Canis lupus familiaris: one gene and its partner. The protein of the gene in region 1 purifies or fractionates together with the protein of each later gene. This does not show direct contact. Links are inferred from orthologs where the notes say so. Each region holds a gene or a part of one and is shown in the gene's direction. Other genes may lie near its edges. The genes, in order: MTCL1 and MARK2.

The links.
Region 2: the proteins of MTCL1 (region 1) and MARK2 purify together in Homo sapiens (affinity purification with mass spectrometry; 5 studies listed by BioGRID and IntAct, with this or other methods). This does not show direct contact. The link is inferred for Canis lupus familiaris from reciprocal best matches to the Homo sapiens genes MTCL1 and MARK2.

What each region holds. Positions count from the first base shown.
Region 1 is NC_049228.1:75,042,387-75,046,118, forward strand, and holds the end of MTCL1 (microtubule cross-linking factor 1), read left to right. Parts: intron 1-1,771; coding exon 1,772-1,966; 3' UTR 1,967-2,953; downstream 2,954-3,732. UniProt on the Homo sapiens protein: Microtubule-associated factor involved in the late phase of epithelial polarization and microtubule dynamics regulation.
Region 2 is NC_049239.1:53,622,290-53,626,105, reverse strand, and holds part of MARK2 (serine/threonine-protein kinase MARK2), read left to right. Parts: intron 1-1,377; coding exon 1,378-1,557; intron 1,558-1,779; coding exon 1,780-1,833; intron 1,834-3,816. UniProt on the Homo sapiens protein: Serine/threonine-protein kinase. Involved in cell polarity and microtubule dynamics regulation. Phosphorylates CRTC2/TORC2, DCX, HDAC7, KIF13B, MAP2, MAP4 and RAB11FIP2. Phosphorylates the microtubule-associated protein MAPT/TAU.

The sequences.
Region 1 (3,732 bases):
TCTGGTTCAGTATCGGCCAGGTGGCAATGGGCTGCAGCGGTGTTGGAAAAAACCCATGATAGCAGCCATCTCAGTATTCACACCTGGCACACACCACACACTCATACATAGCACATGCAGCACATGACACTCATGCACAAAATGACCCACGATGCACACATAACATCCTCATACAAGGCACATACTTGTACACAACATGATGTCACACATACACAACACACTTATATACTACACAACATACACAATACAAACACACAACACACAAATCTGACAATAGGAGGAGCAGAGACAGAAAAAGACAAAGCAGTAGCAGGTGTCCTAAACCATGCACCTCCACGCATGTGCATAGCAGGGCTGAGGTGAGGAGAGGACAGCTCACCCCACCTAGTTTGCATTTCAGCTATTTCAGGCCTTTGTGGGCGAGGTCTTCCTGGTTGCCATGGTTCCCACCAGCCTAGCACTTTGCTAATCAAGGTTTCCCCATCCTCTGCTACAACTGCCGTCACAAGGAGGCCGGGGATGTTTAGAAGTATCTCAGTGTTCATGCCATTTCCCGTGGGGCCCACGGGGAAGCAAGGCCCACCTCACTCCATCACTCTTCCAGAAGCCCCAAGGCGGCGCTCTGCCTCCCCTCTTCTCCTTAGTCCTCACTGTGCCCATGGATACAGCCCACCGTCTCTTCTCCACTGTCACTCCCTGCTCTGCAGACTAAACCCTCCTCATCCTGGCCTCTGCACTTGCTTGTCACATCTATGTCCGTCCTCTGATGTCCTTCCCTTTGGGCTCTGAGAGCCTGTATTTGCTGTCATTCTTCATTGCAGTGGCTTACCATCTCAGCTTTTTCTTGTTTGAGTGTCACCTGGGCAGGTGGGTTCCGCCCGGTGAACTCGGGTTTCCTCCCACCACCCGCACTCTTCGTGCACCAGCAGACTCCAGGTTTGGGCATCCTTGTTTCCTAGCCTGCAGACTAAGGACAAGTAGCTGGACATTCGTTAACACCAGAAAAGGAGCCTTGGCCCGGGAAGATGTATTATAGGTGGTCTGCCCCACAGTTGAGTGTGTCTTGCATTATCTGTTCTCAGAAGGCGTAGGATGCCTATAACAGAAGCACAAGCACACTCTGATGCCACTTTCTAAAATGCTGCAGCAGGGAAGAGTCATTAAAAACCAGACCGAAGTTAAAATTTCTGCCTGCAGCATTTTTTTTCCATGTTGTGGGAGTTTGTTTAACCCACTGTCAGTCAACTTGGAATAAACAGTAGCAGAGTTCGTTTTAAGGTGAGTCTTTTTGCTAATACAGCTGGATAAATCATCCGTCTCTTCATGGGCCTCCAACAGACCAAAGGGTAGGGAGACTGGCCTTTTAGGGCCAGGTCACTGTGGCTAATAGATCACTCAGGAGGGCCAGAAGGATGGGGTCAGCCAAGTCAGACCATGACCAGGTGGCCTGTGGCTTTCCCCCACCTTCCATAGGCTCTAGCCCAATTCTGAAGATGCTTGTGTAAACATACCCATCTCACAGCATTGCCATATTTTGATCATAATTTGCTATCTTCTCATTCCTCTGTCACTGATCATCTGTTTGAATTTTTCACTGACCATTTTGTTATTCTCCTGGAGCAAGTATAAATTAACATTGGGAAGTTGCCCCTAATCCATTGCATTTAACTGGAGTCTGTTGAGAAGTGTGTTTGGGGAGAGTCACCCCCTTCCCCCCACAAAGGAACTGTGGTTCTGAGTAACCCTGTCTTTCTCTTTCTCGGCTTTGAAGGAACTACCTTGTTCCGCACTAGCTCCATCCCTAGAACCCTGCTTCTCCAGGCCCGAGAGACCAGCAAACCGTCGCCTTCCGTCCCGTTGGGCCTCACATTCCCCCACTGCCTCACTGGCTCAGTCACCCGGAGACCCAGCCTCCTTGGAGGAGCTCGGCGATGAGGAGCCACCGGGGGAGAAGACACACCTGTGACGAGTGCAAGTTTGCATGGATTATCAGGGAATGATTCCCTGTAATTTGCATAACCACGCTGTCATCAACCAAGCTCCACCCACAAGGAAAGATCTAGCTTTCCCAAGGTCAAAGAATGTTTTTAAAAAACACACAGCTGCTGAATGTCCAACCTGTGAACCTGAGATGTTTCTAGAACGAAACCGTAAACGTGCCTGTAATAACTTAATTTTTTTCATAGCTCAGAAAACTATTTTTGTCTCCATCTTTTTTACACAGTATATTAAACAAAAAAGCTAGATAAGATATAAATTTAAAAAATAAAAGTTTTAAAGATGTACATTTTAAGAGATTCTGAACACCCTTGCTCTCAATACTGACTGCCTCTCTGTTAAATTTGCACTGTTACGCCTTGGTTTGATTTGTTCCCACATTGAAGTAGAGTGTTTTAAGTTAACTTCATTTTGTCAGTGTTCTTGTTTTTTAAGAATTTTTGAAATGCTTCAGACTGATTCAGTGAACTTTTTATAGTGAAAAAGCCATGAAGCCAGTCGACAAGACGGATATCCTCTCTACTGGAGGGGATACACGTCAGCATTCTTGCAAAGGTACAGAGTCCTCAGCTGGGCTTACCAAATTTGCTGTATAATCCACGTACTCTACTCGACTTGCATGTCTTTGGGTTCGAAGCGCTCTGGGGTGCATGTACATACTGCTACTGTGGTCCTACCATTGCGTAAGTGTGAGTCATCTGTCCCACTGTAATACGTTGTGAATCCCTCGTACTGTACTTTCATCGTTGTCCTCTTGCATTGAGATACAACAGCAATGGCATTTTTAAATTATTGTTAAAGATGAACTGGCAATATACAGTGTTTACTCAAAATTTTCTTGTTTAAGGAAAAGCACTGCAAAAAGTCCGGAGGGTACCAAACTGAAGCAAAGGATGGTCCCTCAGAGTCTGTATGAGACAATGATGAAGTAGAAATAAAGCCTTTCAAGATGGCAGCCTGTTCCGGGACCTCATGTTTCACATGCCCTCCATCTTCCCCTAAGGGCTCAAGCAATAGTTTTCCGTAGCCAGGGGAACGAGGAAAAGGGGAGGTCCTGTAAAGAGGCAACAGCTGCTAACACACCTCACTGGGGGTACACCGTGAGCACCTGGTATGCCACAGCTTCCCTCTTCTCCATAAGAGCGCCCTGGGGTTGATGACAAGGCAACTTCTGGTTGAAAACATGGCGGGCATGGAGGTGTGAGGCAACTGTTACCCACAAGTCAAAATGTGCCTGGCCTCTCTCCCTCTCCCCTCCCTGGGAAAGGGGGAGTGGCCAATCACCAGGACCGGCTTCCCTCCCTGACAAAGAGGTGTCACCCGGCCTGTCAGTGTGTAACAGAGTAGGGAGTTTATAAAGAGGTGATGCTGGTAAAGAGTGAAAGAACTACTTTGGGCCGAAGCTTCTGGCCTTCATGTCCCATTGACTCAACAGTGCTGTCCTTCTCTAGACTGGCTAACAGAATAAGCTCTATTCCCAGCATTACAACAGTTCTACCTTTAAGTTAAATATTTTCCCCTAAAATGGAAAATACCATCTATTGGTGAGAACGTGGAGATGCTGGAACCCTGGGGTGCTGTTTGTGCAGCCGCTGTGGAGAACAGCAGGATGGGTCCTGAGGTGAAACAATTATCTGTGCCCCAGCAGCTGTGGCCACAGGCCCAGAAGAAATGAAAGCTGGGACTTGAACTATCTGCGCACTGATAGTCACAGCAGCGCGATCCACAAAGCCA
Region 2 (3,816 bases), on another chromosome or scaffold:
ATCCCAGGACCCCCGGATCACAGCCTGAGCCAAAGGTAGATGCTCTACCAGTGAGCCACCCAGATGTCCCAATAAAATGTACAATTAAGTGGCTTTGAGTAAGTTCACAGAGCCATGTAGCCATCACCACTGTCAGCACTTCATTAGAACACATGCGTCATCACAGAAACCCTACACCCCTTACTTGTCCCCCCTAAGTCCCCACCCTCAGCCAGCCCTAGATTAATCTTTCTCCGTGGATTTGCTCATTCTGAACATTTTAGATAAATGGAAACCATATAATGTGTGGTGCTTTGTGACCAGCTTTGTTCACTCAACGTCCTGCCTTCAAGGCTCCTCATGTGGTAGCAGGTGTCAGTACTCGCTGCTTTTCATTGCCGACCAGCATCCCGCTATGTGGCTTTCTCCACAGTGTGTTCTCCATCTGTCACTTAATGGCCATTCATGGTGTTTCCCTTCCGGGGCTCCCGTGAGCATAGGATGTTATGAACACACATTGGTATGGCTGTCCGTCACCTTCCTCTTAGATACTCACCAAGGGGCATAGCAGCTCTGTGTTTAGCCACCTGAGGAGCACACAGATTTTTTAGTAAATGGATGTTTTCCTCTGGGCCGTGCAACTTTGGGGTTATGTGTATGTAGCTGTTCGGTGCCCTGGCCATCACTTCTGCTTTGTCACACCCTTTTTCGAGCAACAGGATATCTGAGGAGGGCAGACAGTCGCCTTGCTCCGACCCTGTCATTCAGTTTGTTCACAGCACAAGTTTCATTGAGCATGTACCATAACTCAGATTGTGTAGGTACTGGGATGTGTCAGGGAATAAATGAGTTATGCCTGCCTTCATGAGCTTCCATTCTCGTCGGGATTGACAACAAATGAATGTAAAGTGATAGATAATAAAAGTAAAGGTGAAGCATTGGGTGGTGATGAGTGCTTTGACGAAATTCTGACTGTTCGGCTCCTGGGGCTTTGGGGCTTTGCCGTGTAGCCTTGTCACAGTGTGAACAGGCAGCAGGGCGGCCAGCAGGAGGCACTCGCCCACAGGGGGGAGGTGCGGAGATGCTGGTGGCTTATTGAGGGTGGAGCCAGCAGTGGCACAGCGGTGGGACAATGCCAGTCCTGAGCTCCCATGCCCATAGGTCCCACAGGTCCCACAGGATGTTGGCACTGGACCATATGCTCTACTCCCTTGGAGTGAAGACTGGCTCATTTCTCTTCCCCCTCCTGCGTTTGGATCCTTTCCCTGCCTGCCAGCCCCCTGCAGTCCATCCTGATTCCTCCAGCCTCTTAGGTTTTTTGCCGAGAGCTAAGGAAGGGCAAGGGTCTGGGGAACTGAGGGCAGCCTACGGAAAGGTGTGCATGTCTCCACCCTGCAGCCCACCTTGGGACACCTCGACCCCAAGCCCACCAGTAAGTCCAACATGCTGCGGGGCCGCAACTCAGCCGCCTCTGCTGACGAGCAGCCCCATATCGGCAACTACCGACTCCTTAAGACCATCGGCAAGGGCAACTTCGCCAAGGTGAAGCTGGCCCGGCACATCCTGACTGGGAAAGAGGTGAGCTCCGGGGGCGGGGCCGGCCGCACCTCCCAGCTGTTGGCACCCAGCAGGAAGCGGTGGCACCACTGCCGCAGCCACCTTCTGGTTTGTCAGGTGGAAGTGCTGAGAGGGATGGGGCACAGAAGAGGTGGAAATATAGAGGAAGAGGGAGAGGAGAGTTGAGTCCTGGGTTAAGCCTGCTCTAAAGAGGGAATCTGGGGCTTTTTGTCTCATGTGCAGGTAGCTGTGAAGATCATTGACAAGACTCAACTGAACTCCTCCAGTCTCCAGAAAGTAAGCATACAGCATTTCCTGTTGCTTTCTAAACCTCTCTTTAGGGGTCAGTGATCTACTGATCTCATGTGGGCCTCCCTTTGAATCCCCAATTTTAAAAATCTCTAGTCATTCACTGTCCTCACTGCTCCATGGCTCTGCTATCTCTGGGGCTCTGATTGGATCCATCACGTTAACCCCTCCTGGATAGGCTTCCTGACCACAGGCACTGGCTCTTTAGAAGTCTTTCTGCCCTTCCCTGCCATTTGGCCTATCTAGGTGACCTACTTCCTACATCTTGTTATCTTCTGGCCTGTGGCCAGCTCTGTGCAAAAACACACTTTCGTAGCCATTACTAGAAACATGCCTTTGGGTAACTGCAAGATCGGGAATGATCCAGAGGAGTGGCTCTAGACATACAGGGACCCTGCCACCAGATTCTATGCCTGCTACATTTTAGGGGATGAGAATATGGAAGACTGGCACTGGGGTTTTTAGAAGCTAAACTCCAGGTCAAGCCTGTGACAGTTTGCAAGTGGAGGACAGGTACTCCCAGTTTGCCTCTTCACTCCTAAGTTCCTCTTGGCTAAAAGTCATGACATCATTTGCATGTAGTGTTCACTAGGTGAGGTTGAATTTTTCCTTCCCTCCTTAACTCAGGGTGGGAAACTGAGGTCTATGTTAGCTAGCTGGTCAGGGGACTCCTTTAGGTAGGAACACCTACCCCCTGGTTGGGAAACTGTGAAGAGTTCGTGGGGACATGAAAAGGAGGCTTTTATTTGCAGTATGGGACAGCTTGCTGGTGGTGACAGGTTGATGTAGAACTGGAGACTCTCTGCCCTCTCCCCTCATCTTGTGCTCCAAGCAGTTAGGGGGAAGGAGGAAATAGCCCATCTGGCTCCCCAAAAGCTGCCCCTGGTCAGTTGGGTCAGATTTCCTTGTGCCCTCACACTCCCCTGACCCTGGCTCAAATGTGCTAACCTTGATTCACCTTAGTTCTTTCTATCATGAGATAGACTGAATTTTTTTTTTCATTAGCACATGTGTTATTTGAGTTAGGAGAGGTCATAACTTCATGCAGCAGTCAACTACAGTGAGGTTGGGAAGCTTAGGGCAGGGTTTAGGGGCTGGTGTTGAGAGAGGCACTAGCATCATGGAGGTTGAGGTGCCTTGACTCGCTGGCATCCAAAACCAAGGTGTTTCCTATTTTTTTGTTAGCCCTGGGATCCCCTCAAGGTTCTTTGGTTCAGAGGAAACACTGCTGTCATCACTAGGGCTTTCCTGCTTAGAGCTTTCCGGAAGGAAGGGAAAGAGGGCTACTCTTGATGTTTTGGCCCAGACCCTACAGGGTGGAAGCCAGTTTGGTGTGGGCCGTTTGGTCTTTGGTGCAGTCCAGCCTGCCATATGGTAATAGCCACAGTCAGTCAAGCCATCTTATCTCCCTTTTTTTCTCCTTGCCTCTTCCTGACTGGCTGGAAGGCAGCAATGCCAGACAAATGTAGCCATTTGAAAAGCCTATTAACACACTCTTACCAAGGCCAATCTGATTCTGGCCAAATCACTGTTTAAATTTGATCCCAGCAGTGATCCGTAAAAAGGACAATAGTGAAGAATCTGTCCCCCCTCAGGGTTCTCAGCTAAGCCTAGAAAACTCCACATTATCCTAGGAGAATGCCCCTTCCAGGCCAGTGGGTGCTCTCAGGAGGAGAGCCCTGGCCCCCACCTCCGACCCCATCTCAGTGTTGCTTCCCACCCCTGTGGTAGTATCCGGGATTTTTTGCCTCCTTATCCAAGACAATTGCTGGACCAGGGAAGAAGGCACGAGAAACCTGGGCTCTAACAAGAAAAGGGAGCCAAATTCAGAATCAGACTCCTGAAGATTGGAAAGCTTGTCTCTTCTTTTCCTTTCCAGATTACAAAAGCTCTCAGACCTCATTAAGAGGAAAAACCATGTTCACTTGATTCCATAAACTATCCTGAATTAGGTCTCCAGACCTCACCTCC